4 linked regions of the Oryzias latipes genome follow. The protein of the gene in region 3 purifies or fractionates together with the protein of the main gene of each other region. This does not show direct contact. Links are inferred from orthologs where the notes say so. Each region holds a gene or a part of one and is shown on either strand. Other genes may lie near its edges.

Region 1 (5,286 bases), on a different chromosome or scaffold from region 3:
TCCCGTGTCTTACTGTTTAAATGTGTGCCGCTTGGTGTTAAAACAGTTGAGAGCTGCTGATAAATATTTATGTGACACACCTTTTATCTCATCTCCTGCTGAACTTCAGTGTCCTGTCCTCCTCAGAGAGTCCATCAACAGTCTGAAGAGGAAGTACTCTCAGTCCTCCGAGCCCACCGAAAGCGACGCCGCCATTGACAAGACGCTCGGCGGCGTGGCAAAAGATGGATGCCAGTTTCTCCTGGACGAGGTCTTTCTTGATCTGGAAGTAAGAACGGCCGTGGCGGTCCCGCTGGGCCCATGTTGGTCTGTTCATGTCTGAACGTGAGGCGTTTGGGATCCCGTCAGTGGTTCCAACTGATCATGGCACGAGAATTAGAGATGGAAATCCTCAGGATCCTTTTATCATAAGTCAGCTGATGTTCCAGATCACTTTTTACTCCATGGTTTATACGTTCTCACAGTAGTACTGCGGTGCGTTCAAAACAATTCTTTAAAGGATTTGGTAGATGATGTGACTTTGTCAGCAGCTAATAGATGCTTTTCTAACAATAGAGAAACTCCCAGGATCCTCTGTTCTCTTTTAATTTTCCTTTCAGCTGCTTCCTTTAGAGGGTGCCACAGAGAATCATCTCCCCTATTTTAAAGGGCCTATATCATGCAAAATCAACTTTTTGGAGCCAGGATGATTCATTCATTCCTCACTAAAATCTACCCCCATAGGGGTATTTTGATCCATTCATGCATCTCTGAGTATTCCTCTAAAAACCTGCTCTCTGAGCACCAGCCCCTCCCAATCCACAAAAACGAGCAGGTCATTAAATTTGACATCACAAAGTGAGGAACCGCCCCTTTCAGGAAGAGTCTAGGGTGCCAGCCCCGCCCCCAGGCTAACTTTCTCAGTGGAGCTAGCGGTGATGGGCTAAACGCTTTCATTTTCTGTGAACAACATGGACATCAATCCAGCTATGTAAAAGTTCGGATGTTTATTTTTCGGGGGAGAAACTCAGGCACACTGCTGAGGCCGACTCTAGGATGATGTCATGAAATGGGCGGTACCCACAGGAGAGAAAGGCGGAGCCTTAAAGATCAAGTCAGCTTACTTCAGGATAGCAAAAGGGGCTGTGAAAAAAACTCATATTTTATAAAAAATGGTTCTTTAGTGTTTCAAAGGTAATATATGATCATATATATGGATATATTTTACTCTGACAGGCTAAAGAAAAGCACGATACAGGCCTTTTAACTCATCTTTTTCCTCGTCCTCATCCTTTTCTTTGGCTCCTCCTCCTCTGAGCATGTCTGAATCTGGTTTCACATCCAATCATCTTGTTCTCCTGATGCTCTTATTTTCTCCGTCCTCATTTGTGCTTAAGAGAACTTCATCATCTCCATTTCTGCTGAACACACTTGATCCAGATAGTTAGCTGCAGGCTGTGCAGGGAGGGCTGGGTAACAGAAGTGGATCTGGAGGACCAGGATTCAGCAGTCCTAGCCTTCATCCCTCTTTGTTCCTCTTCACTTCTTTCCTCCCAAAACTCTCTTTGTTTACTCGGACATGTCAAACGTTAGAAGTATGAGGGCTACGGGGCAGAGAAACGCCTGAGACCTATGTGGTCAGAGCAGTCCCGGTCCACTAAACTGTTCCGGTTCTGTTGAACAGCATCACCTGAACGAGCTCCTGACCCGGAAGTGGCTGAGCGGCTCTCATGCTGTGGACACCATCTGTGTGACGGTGGAGGACTATTTCAACGACTTCAATAAAATCAAAAAGCCCTTCAACCAGGTACAGTGAGACCGGGTTTTAAAAACGCAGACCCCCCTCCTGCAGGAGACTGTTAGCATGGCTGCCGCCTGCGTTTTTCTGCAGGAGATGACGAAGGAGGCGCTGCGGAGGGTGGTGGTGGAGTACATCAAAGCAGTGATGCAGAAGAGGATGAGCTTCAAAAACGCTGATGAGAGGAGGGAGGGCGCAGAGAGGATGATCAGGGAAGCCGACCAGTTCAGTTTCCTCTTCAGGAAGCTGGCGGCGGTGAGTTTCTCTCTTTCACTGCACCGGTCGCACTTAGGAGCCACCAAACCCCCACCCCCCCACCCCCCAGAGCGCTGCACAGTTGGTCAACTTCTGCCTGCTGCAGGGCGAAGACACAGAGCGTCTGTGCGGCGCCATCACCGCCATCGCTGAGGTGTTTAAGCTGACCGATCCCACGCTCCTGTTCCTGGAAGTCACCACGCTGGTGTCCAAATACCCCGATATCAGGTGAGGTGTGACACAGCAGAGGCATCACTCCTGAAGGCACAGTGTGACAATGATGCAGTTATTGAGAGCAAAAATGACCATTATGTCAAGTTTGACTATAGATCAGTGGAAATTTTCAATATAAATACATATGCACACAAATTGTCTCCAAACATGACATTCCTCCAGCTTTAAGGGTTCATTTCAGTTGAATTTGGTCAGTCTGAGTTGATCATTCAGAAATGAAGCCTGTGTGTGTGCGCCACCTGCAGCAGTTGTGTTGGGCAGGTGAGGCAGCTCTTCTTCTTCTTCTTCTGTCCCCTCTGCTGCAGGGAGGACCACATCCAGGCGCTGCTCACCGTTCGAGGCGACGCCAGCAGAGAGATGCGGCAGATGATCATCGGGACTCTGAGCGAGAACAAGGTGGCCAGCTCTGCCGCTTCGCAGCCCATCTTCAGAGACATTCCTGTCCCCACCATGTCCATGACCTCCATGACCTCCATGGCAACTTCAAAGCTGCTCAAATAAAGCGGGAACCACCTCTTGAATCTTCTCCCTCCACATTTGATTTCAGGTTTTTCTTCTCATTTGTGCTTCAGCATCTATAAACCCAGAGCTGTAAACATAACTGCAGGGTTTCAGGTTTCAGATGACTGAGCTGCAGGTAGGACGTTTCAAAGGTTCGGTCCTGCTTGTGACCATGCCCAATGTCATTTTCTCATGGTGAAGTGACTGAAGCAAGCCCCCATCTGAGGCACCATTGCCTAAGCTCCGGTTCAGTCTACAGCAGCTTGACTCTTTCAGTTTTTGAATGTTTGGTTTGATCCGGTAAAGTCCATCACAGGGTTTTTGACCGCCATTTTTTATTAATTTCAATGTTCGTTATGAAGAAACGGGGAATGTTTACACTAATCTTCCGCTGATGAGGGATTGAAACATTTTCAGTTCAAAGGAAGATGCAGTGTAGATGCATGATGACCACTGGACAAACAGAAAAACCTGGATTGGTGGGGGCAGCATGATGATAAGGGGGGCATCAGTGGAGATGGGATATTGTCACTACAAACAGATGTCAGGACCTAAAAACTCCACAGGCTGGGACTGTATCCTCAAGATGCAACATGCACCCAAAAAAAAAACTACACGCGTGGCTTAATTTTTGACTTAAAAATATAATTATTTTATCAAATACAGTGTCACATATTTGTAAGATTTTTAAAAAACTGAAAATAAATGTGTGCCTCTTTTCTTTTGAAGTTTAAATATCCAAAAATGTTAATGTCTAGTTATATTTTTGCTTTGTCAGTTTGGGTTTCACAAAACGACATGTCATTGCATAAACATTTGTCACTTTCTTAGACTTAAGTAACTTAATACGGTTACTGACTTTGAAATCACTTGAATTAATGAGTTGGGTGGTAATTTAAAAACAATGTAAAATACTTGGGATGTTTGATTGCAAAATAAAAATTAGATTGAAAATTGAGTTTCTATGACTAAGTTGTTTATTACCGACAACCCGCTGTTTTTAAGCAGAAATGTCGCTGTTTAAAGGTGGTGTGTCACCGAGTCTCCGGTAGGGGGCAGCAGAGCCCAGCGCGGACGTGACTGCAGAGAAGAAGAAGAACAAGGGAGCCCTGGACGCCGTGTTTTATTTGGATCGTCTGCAGATTTGTGGACATGACTGACCCAGTTCGGCTTTAGTAGCAGTTCGGACCCAAACATTAACCGTCCGTCACATCAGCATCGCCTTTCGCCGCTGACAGACCGGGTATGGACTTTTGACAGCGTTTCATGCTAACTCGTGCTGAGCTGTGCTAAGCTAATTTTGCGGGCGGAGGACGAGAACCGCGGCAGAGACCAGAACCGATCTCAGATCTGGTTTCTGACGCCAACGGCCGTTTGCTCGGTCAAGGTGAGAGACCTGAGACCAGGGACCCGTTTTGAGTCCAGGGACCAGATCTCAGACCAGAGGCCAGAACAGGAACCAGCTCTGAGTTTAGACAAAGATCTGAGACCAAGCAGATCCCAGTCCAGGGGCCAGAGTCCGGTCTGATTAGCGACAGGTCTTCCTCAGAGCGTCGCTGCTGCTTTGGCCCCAGCTCAGACTAGTAAACAGGTTCTCCTGATCCCGGATCAGGCCCAGCAGGCTGTCAGGAAGCTGACCACCAGCGTCCTTGGCCTCCTCCTGCAGGACCTGGTCTGCTGTCTCCTCCTCTGCCCACATTCACCTCTTCACTTTGAGTGTTTGATCTTCCAAACTGCTGCTCCTCTGCCCCCGCTCTCTGATGCTTGCTGACCACGCCCTCTTCTTCCATATGACTCCTCCCCCGTTTCTTCCATGTGCAGGGGCATCTCCTGATCATGGTGGACTACTACCAGGTTTTAGGAGTACGGCGGGACGCGCCTGCAGATGAGATCAAAAAAGCGTGAGTAGCTGATCAAAGGTCTTCTTGTTAGTTGGGTGGCGACTGCCGGCTCTCCGTCTGCCCCATGGAGCCCTTCTTCCTGCTGGGATGCTGATACCTGAAGCTGAGCACCAGCAGCTGACGGAGAAACACTCGGCTCATGGAGTTCTATTTCTGTGGGAACGTCTGCCGCCGGCTGCAGACCAGACGAGGTTTCTTCTCATCACCGATGCCATCTGCCCTTCTGTCCCTCTTGTCACCAGTGCTCACCTCTCCCTCCATCTTCTTCAGAATCAAATGTCATAATGCAGCTGCATGTTTTCCTCTGCATTAAATCACAGGGAGAGGGTTAATGCAGGTCAAAAGTTGTTCCATCCCTCCTCTGGAAGTGCTGAGTCCCGCTTGATGGAGAAGTGAATATGTTGGTGTGGTAAACTCCATCCCTCACACTCAGGACCACGGAGGTTTCAGAAGTTCACAGCCCCTTCCACTGTGTTTCAGGCTGAAGCAGAAAATGTCTGACTGACACAAAAAAACCTCCCCCGGAGTTTCAGCAGATGCTAACCCCAGCCGGGTGGTTGTTCTGCTGTCCTGCTGCAGGTACCGTAAACTGGCCCTCAGGTGGCACCCGGACAAGAA
Region 2 (6,511 bases), on a different chromosome or scaffold from region 3:
GGATGATGGGACATCCGTGCTGGCTTACTCCACGCCAACAGACCCGCCCACAACTCAGAGGTAATTTTCTAATGAACTCCTGCTGCTCTGCAGAAACTAGGTCCTAGAAAATGTTTTTGGCTAAAAACGGCATTATCATCATAATAAAAAGACCACTGGGAACACTTTGACAATAGATCAGAAGATGACTGACGAGGGACTTTAAAGGTTTTTAAACCATGACACATAAAAAAAACGTAATAAAAACAGTAAAGATAATTTTGGGGTAGTTTGCATTAAAGCTGTGCCCCTAGTTTGCTTGCTCTTATTGTGTAATACTGTCTATCACAGAGAGAACTCTGAACCATGGTGATCATTCATTTAACTGTTGCAGGAAAAAACGTCTTTGGAGGCATTCATGATGTCATTTCATCTGTCAGTCAATCTACAAGGACAATTTAGGTCCAAGACATTTGTGACATCCATCCGCCTCCAAAGGGTTTTCAACAGCCTCCTCCCTGAGGGGTTGAATACACAAAAATCAGTGTTAATCTATAATAATAATAATAATAAATTGGAGTTTTCTGTGCCTTCCAGACGCTCAAAGTTCTTCCAATGTGTCCATTAATTATTCATATTTGGTGATGGTAACTACTGATGTACCACAGCTGCCGTGGGGCAGACTGACAGAGGTCGGCTGCCAGTACAGCCCCTCTGACCATCACCGGGACATTCATACACATATGCAGGGAGGGTGAAGTCTGTTGCTCAAAGACACAATGACAGCTGGCTGGGGTGAGCGGGTATTGAACCGCCGACCCTTCGATCATTGACCGACTTGCTCAATCGCCTGAGCATTTAGGTTTTATCTGCACAGATCACCTGCAGGATAGATGAGGGCTGGAAACCAGAGAAAAGACGCCATGAAAATGTTCTCTTTTGTCTCCATTGCCTCTGTTTTTTGTCTCAGGTCTATTTATGATGACCAGCCCAACGCTCACAAGCGGTTCATGGAAAAGCTCGATACCCGGATAAGGAACCATGACCGCGAGATTGAGAAGATGTGCAACTTCCACCACCAAGGCTTTGTGGACGCCATCACAGAGCTCCTGAAGGTCCGGGCCGATGCGGAGAAGCTGATGGTAAGACCACGGCTGTGCAGGCGTCACGGTTCTCTGTCCTGGTCTTTCATTCAGGGCGGATTCTGACTCGCACAGAGCTGCAGGAACAGTAAACATGCAAAAGTTGGACCTCAGAGTTTTTACAGTTCTAGCTAAATACCTGAAAGTGAGACCTAAAAACCGACTTTTTCCTTTGCTGTTTGGAACTCTGCTCATGTGAAATGCTTCTGCAGAATGACATAAAGAAAGTGATTATCTCGTTGTTTCCCGGTTGGGAAGGCCGTCATCCGAAAGCTGACTGGTCAAATGGGTCATGGCTCCGTGCCGCATGACAAGAGCTGAAAGTTCAAAAATCCACCTACAGAATTGAGAAGTTTGTCACTGAATCTGTGAGAAAGAGCCTGTCACAAGCCATTAAACCCCATGAAAGGCCCAGCGCTCCGCCGATGGGTTCAGGTCCCCGCTGCCTGGTTAATCTGAATTTGCCAGCCTTTGTCCGTGCTCCTCCATGGACAATGAGCTGATTACAAAGCTGAGCAGCTGCAGGGAGGGAGGAAGAGTGGAAAGGGCATGAAGAGGGAAGCAGAAAGAAAACAGGTTCCGCCGCGCTTCCTACAACACACATGGATGCTAAGGGGGGAAAAAATGAGACGTCACCTTCATCCCTCAACCAGAAAGGGTCTGAAAACAGCAGCTCCTTCTCACATCTGTGCGCTGATGCTGAGGGAAACTGAGACGGTGAGCTGTAGCTGCAGCTCTACAGGATGCTGGAAACGCATCCGAGTCCAGAGGAAGGACTCGGTAGGACACCTTATCAGCTGCTCCTGCTTTACTGCAGAATCCTGCAGCGCATAGGAAATAGAACCTTAATTGATCCCACAATGGACAAATGGATTCGTTATCAAAACTAAGAAGATCACAGATAATAAAAAGCACTAAAATACAATAAACAACATAATGAAGTCTCCTGCACGTCTGACCTTTATTCAAATGGGTCTTTTTATTCTTAACCAAATTAAAATATAACATTTCATTTGTTTTCTGCTAATTGTATTGAATTTGATTTTTTAATTATAATTATCTCAATTAAATGTATTAAGTCCCACAATCAGAGTTACTTTTTTTCTTTTCATTATTTTCTCAAATTTGCTGAATTCGATGAAACAGTAGAGCAGCAAGAACAAACACTGCTTTCATAGTCGCTGGAGGACGGGCCTACAGAGATGTTTTTAGGGGTTTGTTTTGTGGAAGGAAAAAGATTCAAGACTTGAATTTGTGACCTTTTCCACTGAACTATCCGCTCATGTGTGGAAACTGCAGCACATGCTCCGTCCTGGTGTAGATCTTCCTCCAGAGGGTCTTCTGAACAAAACATCTCAACTCTGCTTGTGCTTTCATTTCTAAGGGTCAAGTGACGGACACCAACCGAAGACTCCAGGAAGCAGGGAAGGAAGTAAGTGTGCTCTCATGATGTCCAAACTCAGCCTGTGGTTCCACCCCCAGGACCTTACACCGCTCTGGTTTTGCCATCCTCTCCTTCCTCCTCCAGGTAACGGCTCAGACGGAGGAGGTCATCCGCTGTCGCATCCAACAGAGGAACATGGCCACCACAGTGGAGAAGCTCCAGCTCTGTATTCCAGGTGTTTAAGGCTCACGTCTGTTTCTCTAGATATTGGTGACTTCACCAATATTCACCAAAGATTAATACTCTGCGCACACAATAATTAATGCGCACAAAAAGACGTTTACACCGAATAACTACAGGAAAAACAGTGAGCTGTCTTACACTTTCACTGCCCTGTCCGTTGCTATGGAAACTGGGTTCTTGCTGTAGAGGATGCAATGGTCGGTCACGTCTGTGGCTGTGTCCAAATTCCTTCACAACACAGTGCGCCATAAAGCGCCTTCACCATTTTAGAGTGCTGTCCGAGTCGACAGTTCCAACATTTAGTGCCCTAGAAATTTCCCAGGAGTCTCTGCGTAAAAGCAGTGGGCATCGATGATCACTAGATTGGCGCATATAGACCACAATGCATTGTGTTTGAACAATATTTGCAAAAGAAGAAGGATTTAAATATATTTTTTAAATAAACCATCAATGTTTTCCTCTTAAATGGTCGTCGTAAAACGCTCACACCGGTTAGATTTTCACTTTGTGAAAGCGGAGACGGCGTATTCGCCATTTAACAAAAAAACAAACAAAAAACTAGTGAGCGTGGTGTCGGAGTTGCTTTTAAAATCCAGGACACTAGATTGTCCGGCACGATCGAGTTTTGTATTATTTAGGGGTTAGGGAGGAAATTTGGACACAGCCTGTGTGCTTTGATTTCAGCTAAAGCAGACTTCTCAGTTGGATGTCTATTGTGTTTTCTCTTTTCACTGTAAAACAAAAAACTTTTCAGGAATGTAATCCTGTCCTCCTTCCTTCCTTTGTAGTGCTGGAAATGTACAGCAAACTGAAGGAGCAGCTGACATCCAAAAGGTAAATGTCTCACCGAGCATTCAACCAAAACTCCTACATAAATTTGAACTTCTGAAAGCCCCCATCAGGCACAAACCTTGGGTCCTGAGAGCATAAACAAGTCTCTACCGTTGGTTCCTTTCCACTCAAGTCCCCGTCCTTGTCTCTCAGCCGTCTCTCTATCTGTTCACTGCATGTAACCCCCAGGGAGATATCGGGAACATTTTCAGTCTGACCCCACTGGATTCTAACCCACGATGACCCAATGTCAGGGTGGACACTCTTCCACTGGGATAGGCTTAAGCCACAACTGAGTCTTTCCTGTGTGAGTGGCGCCGGATAAGGATAAGGGTGGAGGACGAGCGCAGAGAGAACCCATCCTATACTTACAGTTGTCGATGTTTATGAAAAGAAAAACGTTTCCCTTCAACTCAGCACGCTTTGACGAAGGATTTTCACTCCATATTTTAGGAGCTTTAAAAGCCAACAGAAAATATTTAGTCGAAGGAGTTTGAATGATTGGAGAAATGACGGTCCTGACAGAGATCTAGACGATGCAGGACATGTGCAGCAGGTTCCTTTCAGACTTTTCAACCCCTGCCCCGTTCTGCAGCTCCCCTGAACTTCACTTTTACCCCCTGAACTTCCCCTTGAGCTGTGTTTATGTGCCTGCCTGTATGAAGAACGGAGGGGAGCTCACTTTGGACAGGAAAATAATGACCCTTTCTTGTTCATGACTGTGTTCCAAAGAAGGAGACCATTCAGTGGAAGGACAATTGACCCTCAGTATGCCCTTGTTCACAACAAGGCCCCCTCACTGCCGCTCCGCTGTGGCCCTCAGCCAATCCAAGTCAATTAGACCATGATGGCCACCATGTGTGTGTGTGTGTGTGTGTGTGTGTGTGTGTGTGTGTGTGATGGTGAAGTGTACTTCAAACACCAGTGGCAGAGCTTCTGGACTCGTCAGTGAGTCGTGTACGTGGCTGTGCGTCGTCCGTTTTGCTGCCCTGCATCTTGATCAACCTTTTCGCAGTGCAGTTTGTGAGAGTGTCTCCTTTATTCGTTTGTCAGCGACACATTTTACACTCCCTGACCGACCAATTAGATCCCTTCACAGCTTGCTTAACAGTCTAATGATGGGAGCTTAGCACACTGACCCAACATTGAACTCCACGTCATTTATTCCCAGACTGTGAATTAAAAAACAATTTAAAAAATCTAAAACCGAAAAACTTTTAGAAAGGAACTGTGCTGCATTCATGCAAATGAGGTGCATCATACCATGGTCTGGGTGAATTCATGATTCTGATTGGCTGCTGGGTGTGCATTAAAAAGTGATGGACCACAACTGCACGCCTAGAAAAACGGTCCAAACCGTAAAAACAGCAAGAATAAAGGACTAAAAACTAGTTGAATATGTCATGGTATAAGTGGGTTAATGGCCTTCCAAGTGTGCATTATCAGAAATGAACTCACTTGTGTGCATTCATTTCTGATAATGCACACTTGGTCAGCCCTTACATATACACTAAGAAGTAGCGTTTGAATGCGGCTGCCGCTGAACAGAACTGTTGAAACATCTTGTCTTTGTCTCGGCTGAACGGAAATCCTTCTGCTTAATGAAAAAGTGGAAAAAAACGTCCCGAGAAATGAGAAATATATCAAACGTGTTGTGGACAAAGTGCCTCAGAGGCGCCACAGCAGCAGTCTGTTGTCCTCCAGCCTCAAGTCGCTTCCTCTCCACAGGTACTATGCTGCTCTGAAAACCATGGAGCAACTGGAGAAGGTGTACATCCCCAGGTAGGATCACGTTTGCTGTTCATCCTTGAATATGAAGAATAATTCCTCATCGTGCAGCTCTGCCCGACTTCCATCAAGAGCCATTTCAAAATGCACTTGTGAGAGAATGAGGGGCTGTGTTTGTCTTTACAGAGTGAGTCAGTACAGGTTCTGTCAGATCATGGCTGAAAACCTGCCCAAACTCAGAGAGGAGATCAAGGACGTCTCCATGTCGGACCTCAAGGACTTCCTGGAGAGCATACGAAAGCATTCAGACAAGGTTGGAGAGACTGCCATCAGACAGGTGGGTCCAGGTGTGACGGCAGCTTCATCCTCAGCCGAGTGGCTTGGATCCATCCGCCTCACCGTGAGTTGTGCACAGGCGCAGCAGCACAGGACCTTCATCAGCACGGTGGCAAAGCAGGCCGGCTTAGACCACTACACCAAACCCCTGTTCTCCCTGAAAGGACGAGCGCACTCGCACATGCCCAACGGTCTGCTGATGGATGACGGTGCAGGAGACGAAGAGGACGCTGATGATGAGGTGAGGACATATTCTCTGGTCTGCATTGCAGGTCTTTCAGTGTTTGTCTGCATGTGGTGCAGACATCCTCATAACTGTCCAGGTTTATCAGTGCTGTGTTGTTGTTTGACTACAACTATGAGCAACACTGATGGGAGAAACGTCTGATCTTGCAGTTACCTTATAATAAAAGTTAAATCAATAAATCCGGAAGAATATATAGGCCTTCAACTGCTTTAGTTTGCTTTTGGAGTCAGACTAAAAACTGTTCTTGGAGCCTAAATCCTAAACTTTCCAGGATTCCTGAGGCTTTTGTTTTCCCTTATTTAGTTTTTCAAATTGGAATATGGAAATGGCAGCATTGAATTTCATTCGGCTCGTCAGATTCGCAGGTCTCTTGTGTCTGACCTGATTTCTTGTGTGTGTGTGTGACAGATCCTTACAGCTCAGGACCTGGTGGACTTCTCTCCCGTCTACAGATGTCTACACATCTACACGGTGCTGGTAAGTGTTTTCGCTGCAAACACACTGTTCTGTGTTTTGATGCTGATGACACTCTGAGACGAGTTCACCTGCAACACCTGACCGTCCAACCTGAAGGCGCCTTGGCCGTGTGGTGCTGCTCATCCGTTAAGCAGCGTCGTGTGT
Region 3 (6,511 bases):
CTGAGAAACGAAAAAAAACACACAGATCAGTTTAGTTGTTGTAGTTTGTTTTCTTCTCATGACGCCTCCACACTTCTCCTCAATAGGAGTGTAACAGCTGCAGGTCACAGCAGCAGGTACTGACCCGCGTGATCTTCTCTGTTCCCGTGAAGCCGTGCTTTTCAAAGTGATCCGCCAAGTTCAGGAAGGTGCGTCTCTCCAGGTACTGGCAGTTGCTCAGAATGATCAGCAAACGCTGCTCCTGTTCATAAAAGAAAGGAAAAGTTAGATTGTAATTTAAGCCCAAGACCTTGTTCCAGCACAAACTCGTTTTGTTAAATAATCACATGTTTTTGAAGACCTAGTTTGCAGAAAATGGTGTTTTGGTATTTTAACATGTGTCTGTGGCATTTTTCTAAAGATGGAGGACATGTATATAAAGAAATTAATTGCATTTCTCAGTATTTCTTTATTCAAATCGTTGCGAATCAGGAACAGAAAAAAAAATGAAGTTTGAAAATTAGCTTTTTTAGCTGTAGAAAATACGCCAAACGCTCCCTGCTTAAAGCTCTCAGCCACCGGGAGGGAAGGGGTTTGGTTCACGCCAACGGTCCCACCCACAACTCAGAGGAGAGTTTCTAATGAACGACTGCTGCTCTACAGAAACTATGTCCTAGAAACTAACACAGGTTTTTAGACTTTGCCTAAAAATGGCATAAAATAATTAAAAGACCTCTGAGATGAGGGGGGGGGGATGAAAATAAGTGATAAAGTCTATTTCAATCCCTCCTTTTTCAGGGGTAAGGATGGGGTAAGCAGGGGTGGACCATTGACTGTATTAGAGAATATAAAATAACATCCCTATGCGTGTATTTGAACCACACCTAAAATAGATGTACAGTGATGGACAAAATTGTTGGTACCCCTCAGTTAAAGAAAGAAAGTCCACGATGCTCACTGAAATGACTTGAAATGTTCAAAAGTAACAATAAATTAAAATTTATTGAAAATTTGATAATCAAAATCAGCCATTACTTTTGAGTTGTTGATTAACAGAATTCTTTTTTTGTTTAAACTAATGAAATAGGGCTGGACAAAAATGATGGCACCCGTAACTTAATATTTTGTTGCACAACCTTTTGAGTCAATCACTGCAATTAAACAGTTTTTGTATTTGTCAATGAGCCTTCTGCTCCTGTCCACAGGTATTTTGGCCCACTCCTCATGAGCAAACTGCTCCAGTTGTCCCAGGTTTGACGGGTGTCTTCTCCAAATGGAATGTTTCAGCTCCTTCCACAGATGTTCAATGGGATTCAGATCTGGGCTCATAGAAGGCCACTTCAGAATAGTCCAACGCTTTTCTCTTAGCTTTTCTTGGGGGTTTTTGGCTGTGTGTTTTGGATAGTTGTCCTGTTGGAAGACCCATGACCTGCGACTGAGACCAAGCTTTCTGACACTAGGCAGCACATTTCTATCCAGAATGCCTTGATAATCTTAAGATTTCATTTTACCTTGCACAACTTCAAGACACCCTGTGCCAGATGCAGCAAAGCAGCCCCAAAACAGAACTGAGCCTCCTCCATGTTTCACAGTAGGGACAGTGTTCTTTTCGTTGTATGCTTCATTTTTGAGTCTACCAACATAGAGCTGATGTGCCTTACCAAAAAGCTCCAGTTTGGTCTCATCTGTCCAAAGGACATTTTCCCAGAAGCTTTGTGGCTTGTCAACATGCATTTTTTCAAATTCCAGTCTGGCTTTTTTATGATTTCCTTTCAACAGTGGTGTCCTCCTTGGTCACCTCCCATGAAGTCCACTCTGGATTTATTGTTACTTTTGAATGTTTCAAGTCATTTCAATGAGCATTGTGGACTTTCTTTCTTTAACTGAGGGGTACCAACAATCTTGTCCACCACTGTATGTTTACATCCTGCTCACATTTGTGGAGAGCTTCACAGCAGTTTTGGCTCTTCAGAGGAGCGGAAGCAGAGACCAATGCATTTGCAGCTTCAAGGCCTGTTTTGTGTTTTTTCAGATCAACACAATTTCAGATTCGGGTTGCATAACAGTACAATATCATCACATAGTTTCAAATCTTCCCTATTGTCTTGTATACTTGTATACTTTCAACCACAACATAAAAAAATGATAATTGACAAAATAACACAAAAGCTCATTTTAATGAAGGACAAACCCACAGACACTCATACAGGGCTGACGCTTTATTTTGAAAAATTCTCTACTTTACTAGAAAGACCTTGTTTATCCTCTGCTGAGGCGAACACGAAAACAGAAAAGAGAGATTACGTGTTTAGCACCTCCCTATCGAGCAACGCTCCGACCCCTCAGTTCACACCGGTCTTCAGCGCTGTGTAGTCGAGCTCGGCTGCCTGACTCCCGCTGCACACATTCAGGCTGGGGAAGCCCCGTCTGCACCTTGCTCCATTTCCCTTTACCAGAAGCACTTCATACCCTGCTCTTCCTCCACCCCGTCCTCCACCCCACCGCTTAACCCCCTTCACCAACCTCTCAAAACGAGTTACAGGAAATGAGGACGTAGCTGCTGCGTGTCCACAACCAGGAAACAGACAGATAAAGGTTTGTGGTTCTGACGAGTGTGCCGCCCGCGTTCGTCAACATGTGTCAAAGGCTGTTCTGGCCCCTGTCAGTTGTGGACCCCAAACTGCTGAGTGGAAGTCAGAGAAACGGCATTTTGCTTACTGAAGTTGGACTGAAGTCCTCGTGGGCGGCTGCGAAGCGGTCTGGAGAGGACAGATCTACAGAAATGTTGCTGCAGACAAACCAACAACTTTAAAATCATTCCCTAAAGCACAATCATCTCAAAGATCATTTTAAAAAGATACTCACTGAGAGACTTGGATGTCTCCATCCGTTTTCATGCTCAGCTGCTCCAGACAGTTTATAAAAGCCTAAGTTCAACACATTTGTCAGGCGTGTTGAGAGAAACACACACCGTAACACAGTTTTTACAGCAACAGTCAATAGATTTAATAGTAGCTGAAGATCTCATGTGTCTGTCAGTTGGCTTAAAGACCCACTCCGATGGAAAATGGGGTTTCTGGTCATTTTAACAGGTTCTCATTTTTCTCAAGATGGAGGACAAATAATATGAAAATTAAGCTTAAAATTACATTTCTGAGTATTTCTTTATTCAAGTCATTGTGAAGCAGGAGGCGTTAGAAATAGACTTGTTTGTGATGTTGAAAATACACTGGGGGGGGCTACAAGTTTCCTGCTTTGCTCTGCAACGGGAGGGGAAGGGGGGCAGGGTTGCTAATCTACGCTGGCTCAAAACTTTATAGCTGGACAGCTCTGAGATTGCTTAGCATTTTTGGTATGCTGGTAATGTAATGTTAGGTTGGGGATGGGAGGGGTTGTAAGCTAGCGGGAGAGAGTGTAAACAGAGAGCTCTCAGAAACAGGGAGGGGAAGGGGGATGGGACTGTCCCGCCCACAACTCAGACGTGAAATTCTAATGAACTGATGCTGTTCTGCAGAAGCTATATCCTAGAAAACAACACAGGTTTGAATATTTTGGCTAAAACGGCATAATAATAATTAAAAGACCACTGGGAACACTTTTACAAAAGATGATCAGAGTGGGACTTTAAAGCTTCATATTGCCCTAGGGCCAGAGTCACAAATTTATTTGTGTATACTGTAACTCCATAAATTGTTGCAATATAACAGATAAGGTTATCTGACAAAAACTAACATGTCTCAGCAAATGTCTGGACTCAAATCATGCTGACATGTCTGAACATTTTTCCTTAGTAAAACCAGTTAAATGTTGGCTCTGTGGGCATCTGCATATCATATTACCGTCATGATGGTCACTATGAGCTCTGCTGCCTGGTCCTGGACCTGGTCTAACTGCAGCACCTGTGGAAGAATATCAACAGCACTGGAACAAACCCAGAACCAAATAATTCAAGCTTTATGCACTACCTTTCTAGCTTGGTTTCTCAACAGAAAAAAATACACTAGAACCTTTAGAAATGAATCTATTGAGCCAAAGGGATTTGTGGGTAAGTATCTCACATTGATTTCTCCTGGTTTGGTCTCCAGAGGTTCTTTGAAGGACTGCAACATCTGGACCACGCACTGTTCAAAGTGGTAAGGCTGCAAAAACGAGAGTATAAACAGACTCAAGATTAAAAAAAACTGGAAGAAGAGGTGATGGAACTGATGGATGGAAGTAAAATACTGTACACAGTTGGTATGAACTTCAAGAAAATTCTTTGTTTTGGATCTATCCTTAATAATAATAACCCTTTTATTAGCTTATTTTTAAGCACATTTAAAAGTGCTGTTAGTGTTTATCCGTCTTACTTCATTGTTTCATTTACAAAGTTTTAATATATCTCTCCTTCCTTTCTGTCTGATAATGTAAAAGGGATTGTAATTGAGTAAAAAGGATGAGTAAAATAGCCATTTTGGATGTGAGATGCAAAAATAATTCACTGAATGCTTTTGCACCATGTTTGATGCTCTTGTTGTTCCCAATGTAAATAAAAGTCTATAAATTCACAGCTAGAACTGCTGCAGTCCTCGTCAAACTGATTTTCCACACTAAATTGAATAACCACAGTTTTTGCTAAAAGAGTACCAGTTAATGTTGTTACAGCTGTTTGATTCTTTGGCTACAAAAACGTTTTTTTTGTTTTTTAATCATTGAAGGAACTTGTGAACTTTGATAAGTGTGCTGGTTATTTTAACACACAGGGGAAATAGTTTTAGAAGACAACACTGAAGCCTTTTAAACATTTAAAAAAAAAAAATCCAAGCAATATTATGGTGCGTATTAAAGAACATTTAGAACTTAGCCTAGAAAAATTTGCTAAAAAATAAATAAAGAAAGAAATATTAAACTAACATAAGAAAGGTTCATTCATATGAATGAAAGTACTTACTTTTGAGGGGGTGACAGAAAAACAATATTTATATTGGATGTAAAGTAGTTATGATGATTATTTATGCTTTAAGCACAAAAAGCTGATTTACAACATTTCATTTCCAAAATAGATTGATACCTTTGTTTGAATATTAATTTATTTTTAAAGGTCCATAAAATCCATAGACAGAAAAACAATTTTTACAAGTTTAAATGAATTTGACTTTTGCGCAAAATATCTTTAAAAAAGTAATATGTTAAAAAAATTTTAATCACAGAGATCAAAAATGAAAATAGTTCATGCAAAGAATAATAAATTATTCTTGTAATCAAAACTTCAATCTAACAGCGTCCTTTTGAAAATGTATAAATAGTAATTCATTGATCATTATATTTATAACCAAAGTTCTTAAATTCCTAAAAATTATATATACATTATATATATACATTATATATAACGTACCAGGCTGGTGATTCCTTCATTGTCTACAACCCAGTCTTCCTTCACAGCGAGTCTCTTCACATCTAAGTAAAAGAAACACAAACATAAAGCAAATCTAAAAAAAAAAAATAGTTTATTGGATTCATTTTTTTCTACAAAAAATGCAGCAGTACTGCCTTTTAATACCAGTAAAAACTGGTAATAACTATGTTTATTGTTTTGCGAATAAACCACACATTCCAGACAAGTTATTTCCTTCTAACTGTGTGTCTTTGTGTGCGTGAGGAACTGCTGGGGGTGTGAGAGATGTTACATGAGAAAACCAGGCTTTCTTCTCAAAATGACCATTTTTAACCACAAGTGAAACTTAACAAATCTGGTTTTGGTCTCAAAACACTTTCTCTCTTCCAACTCTTGAAGGTGTAGAAACGACTCGAGCTTTTCCTCAAAGTTGTCCACGAAGCTAAACATGAAGGACTGCATCCTACACCTTTTTTGGGGGGTTTTCAAATACCACTGTTGCAGCAAATCATCAAAAATGTAATCAAAAACAGATTGCATCAGCACAAGCTTTTGCAGTTTAAATACAAATCAGTATATGTGGTTACAGATGCATTTTCTAACTTCTTTTTTTTAAGTTTTTCTTTTGCAAAACATTTCTGTTGTTCAGATCAGTGGGCTCCAACCTTTTTCAGGTCACGGACTGGCCTGCAAGAAGCTAAAGTGGGAATCTGATTTCTTTCTTGCTTTTATGCTTTTTGCCTAAAAAACCGTGAGCTACAAAAGTGCACACCAACTTCAGCCTCGTCCTACTTTAAAGGAGTGACAAATAAAAAAAGGCACGAAGACTGATATTTTCTAAAGATAGTAATAAACCTGAATCCACCGTTTGAACAACTTTATTAGCAGCATCCTCGTAACATTAGACAGCCGGTGGATGAATATTATATATTATCATTGTCGTGTGTGAGAACAACTATTCGATATCTCTGAAAATAAAAACAATCCAAATTTTCAATTTAATTTCAAAATTTCAATTAATTTTCATGTAATATTTTAATAAACAAACATTTCAACAAGTCCTCCATCTAATGCTGCATGTGGGGACTTTGCAGACCACTTCATGGGTAAAATCAATGCAATAAGATCTAGTCTTTCATCAGTACAATACTTATTTTA
Region 4 (6,511 bases), on a different chromosome or scaffold from region 3:
AGTGACCTGCTGCTGGAGGGGGCGGACAGGATTTGACAGCACGTCTTCTTGTGTTGTAGTCTTGTGTTGTAGTCCTGTAGACGTCTGCTTTGTCACAAAGCTGGACTGGAAGCTTCCAGATGCTCAGAGATGGGCACAATAAGGGGAAAATGTCCTGTTTGTAATCAGGACATTAATCAGGATGTAGACGGACGAAGTAAGGGGACAATGTCCTATTTGTATTTAGGATGTAGACTGACGCAGTAGGGGGACGATGTCCTGTTTGTAATTAGGACATTAATCAGGACGTAGATGGACGCAGTAGGGGGACGATGTCCTGTTTGTAATTAGGACATTAATCAGGACGTAGACGGACGCAGTAGGGGGACGGTTTCCTGTTTGTAATTAGGACGTAGACAGACGCAGTAGGGGGACAATGTCCTATTTGTAATCAGGACATTAATCAGGACGTAGACGGACGCAGTAGGGGGACAATTTCCTGTTTGTATTTAGGATGTAGACTGACGCAGTAGGGGGACGATATCCTGTTTGTAATCAGGACGTAGACGGACGAAGTAGGGGGACGATGTCCTGTTTGTAATCAGGACATTTATCAGGACGTAGACGGTTGCAGTAGGGGGACGATGTCCTGTTTGTAATCAGGACAACAATCAGGACGTAGACGGACACAGTAGGGGGACAATTTCCTGTTTGTATTTAGGATGTAGACTGACGCAGTAGGGGGACAATGTCCTATTTGTAAACAGGACATTAATCAGGACGTAGACGGACGAAGTAGGGGGACAATGTCCTGTTTGTAATCGGGACGTCGCTGACTTGAACGCTATGCAGGGCGAGGAAGCCATCGGACGTCCAGTTGCTCACGTTTGTTGTCATTGGCTGCACGTGTGATAGAGCCGCCCGCCGTCTGCTGCTTTGTCATTTGCATTTCTGTACTTTAAGGTAAGGAAAAGGAATGAGCGCAGCTCCAAATGTTCCACCTGCCTACCAACCCACAATGCGCTGAGGCTGCGTTCGTGCTGTAATGTTTTCTGGATGTCATCTGATTATGATCTGCTGATGTTCATGTATGACCTGTGACCTAACCTGTGTGCTTTCTTACATGTGTGTTTCCACACAGCAGTCCTGTAGTGCTGTTGTTGGGTTGACTGGTTTTGGTGCTATAGGTGGTGCTCCCTCTCCCCCACCCCAAAAACAAACCCTGCTGGTTGCCCCATTGGTGGAGGGATGTGGTGTCTGCCTTTCATCACACTCGTTTCCCGCTTCTTTTTCTTCTTCCTCTTTCTTCTGGTGTTTCTTGGTTGTCTGGACCTTGCTGGCCCCACTCCTCTCCTCTGGACTCTTTCTCTGTGTTTGTGGGACCAGGGACCATTCGCAAGGCTCAGAACCTTCTGAAACAGTACTCACAGCATGGGCTGGATGGGAAAAAGGGGGGTTCTAACCTCACTCCTTTGGAAGGTAAAGCACCTTGGTCTTCTCTGTCTCTTTTTTCCAGCTGGTTTCAGTCAAACACAAAGTCCCAACAGCCGGCCAAAGCAGCTTCTAGACTGTACCGCTTCAGATCATTGGACACATGATGGACAGCACTCACGATGAACGGAACCATTCTGCAAGTTATCCCTCTGAAAAAGCTGACTTTGGTCTGCAATGTTCATTATAGAAACATTTTGACACAATGTGAATACAGAATCCAGAAAGCACAATGTTTGAGTTTCTTTGTATAATAGAGCAGAAAATAAATGTTCAGTCACTGAGAAAAGTTCATCTCAGTACTTTGTAATGTGGTTCCAATGACAGAGGTCAAAGGTTTGGAACCGATAGACTTTTTGTAACTGTCAGTAGCAGTTCCATTGTGGGTGGTTCATCAGGGAAATAGTAAAAAAAAGTTGAAAAAAACATTATATAGTAAGAAACAGCACAAGGCTGGCTCCTGTTCCCCACAAGGTTTCCTGAAGATTTTCAGACGATCTGAACTGTAGTTGCTAATTTGGTCCATTCTTCCATGCAGATCTTCTCTAGAGCTGTGCTGTTTTTGGGGCTGTTGCTGGGCAACCACTCCCTCCACAGATTCTCCATGGATTGAGGTCCAGGGACCGTTGGAACACTCTAGAACCCTGAAATCCTTTAGACACTCTTTACTTTGCTGGGTGATCTTTGGGGGATTCTTTTAGTAATGCTGGAAGATCCAGACATGTTCCATCCCTGATGTTCTCCCTATTGGAAGGAGGTTTTTGTCCAAAATCTCCCCATACGTGACCCAATTCCCCTTTTGCTTCATACGGATCAGGCCGGTCGTTGACCGGCTCCCCCTGTAGTTCTGGACTGTGTACAAACTTGTCCCTGGTGTCCTCAGACAGCTCCTTGGTGGAGAGGTCTGCCTGTATAAGGGTGTGGACAGGTGTCTTTTCTACAGGTAACCAGTTCAAACAGGTGACATGAACACAGGTAACCAGTGGAGGATAGAAGAGCTTCTTAAAGAAGGAGGAACGGGTCTGTGAGGAACTGAATCCTTGCTGGCTTCTAGATGAATCCTTATTTTCTGCTCCATTATACAATCATTATTTAAAGATCAGACATTGTGATTTCCTGCATTCTTTCTTTACATTTTGTCTCTCACATTAAAGTGTTTCTATGATGAACATCTCAGACCAAACTCAGCTTTTTAGAGGGACGACCTGAGGAATCTGTGGCTGACAAATATGTTTTTGCTTCACTGCTTTAAAGCAAACATTTGTCTTCAGGCGTTTTTAACACAAACCTCACTTGAAGTCAATTGGCTCTGCTAAAAAAATTTCTTTTAATAAAGTTCAAACGGATTTTTTATTTTAGTTGACCCGGCTTTGAATATTAGGTTGTCTAAAAATGCAAAATAAATGCATTTACACCAACAATGTTAAGTTCAATTATTCCAATGTAATTCAGTCTCCACTCCGTCCTTTGCCCCCACAAAGACATGTTTTTAGAAAACCTACAGATTAACCAGCAATCCCATCAGTAATGAAATTAAAAGGTTTGATATGATGAAGATAAAGTCAAAAGTGGCACAAGCACCCAAATCTGACCTCTTACTTCTTTAAAATGTCTTTTTTGATTGATTCATTTATGCATCAATTCAATTCAAGTTTATTTGTAGAGCCCAAATTCAAACAACAGTCGTCTCAATGGGCTTCGCACCGGTAGACCATGAACACATGAGACCTTTCTCCCATTAATAGCTTTCAATCAAGTCGGGTCGGGAAGTTATCAGGAAAGAAGAATTCATTTTCTGCTTAAACTCCCATCCAACTGATAAACTGGTGTCAGACGTGGGGTTTTCCCATTTTCCCATCAGGAAATCTGTCAAAAGCTGCAATGAATCCAAAGCTGTTGTGACATTTGAAGCTGGTTTTTGTCCCACAGTTTAACATGTAGACTGGTTCAGAACCAGTTTACATTTCACTCATCTTGGGTGGGCACGCCCTGCCTTTTCTCTCTGGTGCTTGGTGGTGGGCGGTTCAGGTCAGGTTTGTCCCCTCTCCCCCCTCTTAGCCTAGTCTTGACCTCGTTTTGACTAGTCTCCCTGCTGGCCCGCCCCACCCACCAGGTTACGATCATGACCCACGGGTCAAACACATCACTGAGGCCCTGACTGAGAAGCATGGGGCTGCCCCAGGTGAGTGACGAATTCCAGAAGTTCAGAGGTTGATCAGAGAGGCAACCTCAGCTCAGTTTCTTCCTTTAACAATCAAGTTCTTATAAAGTAAGAAGTTAAACTCCGGGCTGAAGTTGTTGTTTAGATCCTTGTCTTATGTTTTGTCAGCTGACGGGAGCTCTTGTTATGCAACTCTTAGGGAAAGACGATGTTCTTGACATCGAGATCGACTCCTACATCCACTGCATCAGTGCCTTTGTGAAGCTGGCTCAGAGCGAGTACGCCCTGCTGACCGAGATCATCCCTGAACACCACCAGAAGAAGACCTTTGACTCCCTCATCCAGGTCAGAGGAGTCAAACCAGGGAGCTTTCATTGAGGATTTCCCAGACAATTTGGTTTTAGGGGTTAGACGTAGTGACACAAAAGTATTCAACAATCCTTTTATCTGTAATCACCGGGCAGAAGTACAGCATCAGATATGCAGGAAGGGCTCTTGAGGATTTAATCAGGTGCTGCTGTTGAAAGTAAAGCTTCTGTAGAACATCCACCTGAGGTTCCAGGTGTTGGTCATTTGCTAAAGGTTTCCCTACCATCTACAGTAATGAAACTCCACAGTCAAGAAAAAATAAACCAAAGCAACAATCAAATTTGAAACCTCATTCTCCTCTGATTGCTGACATCAACCATCCAGTTTTTTTCCTTTTTTAGGTCATTCTCTGTTTGTTGGTTGAGTGTCCAGTAGATGAGCAGTTGACGCTAAAAACTCTTTAGTCACTCTTACTGTTTTTCTTCACCGTATCTGACCATTGATACCATAGATTACCATAGACACGGACACCTTTTATCTGGCTGAAAGGATTTTAATGATTAAAAGCAGGACATTTTTCCCTAAGCCACATTCTGGTTGCATGCTCAGTTTCATCATGTCTGTCCACAGGAAGCATTGGACAACCTGATGCTGGAAGGAGACAACATTGTGTCTGCAGCTCGCAGGGCCATCATGCGCCACGACTACTCGGCGGTGCTCACCATCTTCCCCATCCTCAGACATCTGAAGATGAACAAGTCAGACTTTGACTCCACACTTCAGGTTGGGTCTGCGGCGTCTCATTTCTGGAAGAAGCTGGTCTTGGGGTGTTTAGCGACTGTACTTGATTTGACGTGCAGGGAACGGCGGCGAGCACCAAGAACAAACTGCCAACGCTCATCACGTCCATGGAGACGATTGGAGCCAAAGCACTGGAAGAGTTTGCAGACAGCATTAAGGCATGCGGCTCCCACTTAAACCACCCCTTGTCTATTGGCTGCTGGTCATTTACATGGGTTTTCTCTCCACTAACTACAGAATGATCCTGATAAAGAGTACAACATGCCCAAAGATGGAACAGTGCATGAGCTCACCAGCAACGTAAGCTTGGTTTCTGCTCTGCACTGCCTCTCCGGTTATTTGCCGCTTGTTTGAGCTCTCTGTCTCCGTTCAGGCCATTCTGTTCCTGCAGCAGCTGCTGGACTTCCACGAGACTGCAGGAGCCATGCTGGCATCTCAAGGTTTGCTCCTTTGTGTAGCTCTGCAGACGTCCACCCACCACCTGTCTGTCTGAAAACATCATGGCAGATACACAAACACGAGCACCCAAAGGGAATTCAAATTTCAAGTCAGTGCCAGGCATCCATTTCTTCCTTTCCAGCCTGCTCATGTCAAGAATTTGATAGATTTTAGCTACAGTGGGGGACAGGAGAGAGAAATATTGAACAGGAAGACAGTTCCTGCCAAATGACAGAGGAGAATGGCGAGAATCTGCCTGGAATTTTGCAAACCAATAGAAACAAACCTGGAGACACAGAGATAAGTGCAGAATCTCATATTAGCTGGAGAACGAACCATCTCAGTTTCTCCTTTTACCGTAAGGTTCAGCTTTTTTGTGTTGAGTAGCCACTGCTTTTTAAGCCAATAAGACAGTAAAATGAATGGTGCGCGCCGATCGACGAGCATATATTGAGGAGCTTGCTGAGGAGGCAGAAAGAGCTACAACCCGAGGAGAACAAGGCCAGCTGTACAGAATTAGTCGACAAGTATGTGGAAAACACCACTCTACTGTCAGCTTACCAATTAAAGATAAACAGGGGAAGCTTCTCACAACAGAAGCAGAACAAGATACCCGCTGGGCTGAACATTTTCAGGAAGTTTTGAACAGAGATCCACCAACAGAAGGAGCAGATATTCCAGAAGGAAAGACAGACCTAGACATCAACACAGACCCACCAACAAAGGAGGAAATTGTCTCAGTTATCAAGTCACTGAAAAGCAATAAAGCACCAGGTCACGACAATTTGAATGCTGAACTGTTCAAGACGGACACAGAAACAGCATCAAAAATATTGCAACCTTTTTTCAAAACCGTTTGGATATCAGCAAGCATACCAGAAGAATGGACTAAAGGTGTAATCATCAAAATTCCAAAGAAGGGCACACTCAGCGAATGTAACAACTGGCGTGGTATCACCCTTCTGTCCATCCCCAGCAAGATTATGGCCAAGATAATCATCAATAGGTTATCGGAAGCTGTGAATGCAATACTTAGGAAGGAACAAGCCGGTTTTAGAAAAGGGAGAAGATGCACGGAACAGATTTTTGCTCTGAGAAACATAATAGAACAAAGTGCTGAATGGCAGCAGCAGCTCTTCGTTAACTTTATAGACTTTGAAAAAGCATTTGACAGTGTGCACAGAGACAGCTTGTGGCGAATCTTGAGGGCTTATGGAGTACCGACCCACATGATAAAACTGATAAGAAGCTTCTATAACAACTATAGATGCTGTGTGGGAGGAAGTGACATCTGGTTTGAAGTGAAAACTGGAGTCCGTCAAGGATGTGTGA

The links. The genes of interacting proteins can lie anywhere in the genome.
Region 1: the proteins of exoc2 (region 3) and exoc3 purify together in Homo sapiens (affinity purification with mass spectrometry; 6 studies listed by BioGRID and IntAct, counting the BioPlex papers as one, with this or other methods). This does not show direct contact. The link is inferred for Oryzias latipes from reciprocal best matches to the Homo sapiens genes EXOC2 and EXOC3.
Region 2: the proteins of exoc2 (region 3) and exoc6 purify together in Homo sapiens (affinity purification with mass spectrometry; 5 studies listed by BioGRID and IntAct, counting the BioPlex papers as one, with this or other methods). This does not show direct contact. The link is inferred for Oryzias latipes from reciprocal best matches to the Homo sapiens genes EXOC2 and EXOC6.
Region 4: the proteins of exoc2 (region 3) and exoc7 fractionate together in Homo sapiens (co-fractionation; 4 studies listed by BioGRID, with this or other methods). This does not show direct contact. The link is inferred for Oryzias latipes from reciprocal best matches to the Homo sapiens genes EXOC2 and EXOC7.

What each region holds. Positions count from the first base shown.
Region 1 is NC_019875.2:5,013,258-5,018,543, forward strand, and holds the end of exoc3 (exocyst complex component 3), read left to right. Parts: intron 1-126; coding exon 127-268; intron 269-1,663; coding exon 1,664-1,786; intron 1,787-1,870; coding exon 1,871-2,032; intron 2,033-2,138; coding exon 2,139-2,260; intron 2,261-2,571; coding exon 2,572-2,767; 3' UTR 2,768-3,725; downstream 3,726-5,286. Other genes in the region: dnaJ homolog subfamily B member 6-like, read left to right, coding at 4,604-4,668, 5,248-5,286. UniProt on the Homo sapiens protein: Component of the exocyst complex involved in the docking of exocytic vesicles with fusion sites on the plasma membrane.
Region 2 is NC_019877.2:23,121,561-23,128,071, forward strand, and holds part of exoc6 (exocyst complex component 6), read left to right. Parts: intron 1-949; coding exon 950-1,121; intron 1,122-2,505; coding exon 2,506-2,553; intron 2,554-2,649; coding exon 2,650-2,740; intron 2,741-3,536; coding exon 3,537-3,582; intron 3,583-5,307; coding exon 5,308-5,361; intron 5,362-5,493; coding exon 5,494-5,644; intron 5,645-5,722; coding exon 5,723-5,884; intron 5,885-6,298; coding exon 6,299-6,367; intron 6,368-6,511. UniProt on the Homo sapiens protein: Component of the exocyst complex involved in the docking of exocytic vesicles with fusion sites on the plasma membrane.
Region 3 is NC_019862.2:21,223,313-21,229,823, reverse strand, and holds part of exoc2 (exocyst complex component 2), read right to left. Parts: intron 5,416-6,511; coding exon 5,354-5,415; intron 4,119-5,353; coding exon 4,038-4,118; intron 3,879-4,037; coding exon 3,819-3,878; intron 2,907-3,818; coding exon 2,845-2,906; intron 2,768-2,844; coding exon 2,698-2,767; intron 242-2,697; coding exon 125-241; intron 1-124. UniProt on the Homo sapiens protein: Component of the exocyst complex involved in the docking of exocytic vesicles with fusion sites on the plasma membrane.
Region 4 is NC_019877.2:22,402,124-22,408,634, reverse strand, and holds part of exoc7 (exocyst complex component 7), read left to right. Parts: intron 1-1,365; coding exon 1,366-1,458; intron 1,459-3,583; coding exon 3,584-3,652; intron 3,653-3,830; coding exon 3,831-3,976; intron 3,977-4,570; coding exon 4,571-4,723; intron 4,724-4,800; coding exon 4,801-4,899; intron 4,900-4,978; coding exon 4,979-5,041; intron 5,042-5,114; coding exon 5,115-5,181; intron 5,182-6,511. UniProt on the Homo sapiens protein: Component of the exocyst complex involved in the docking of exocytic vesicles with fusion sites on the plasma membrane.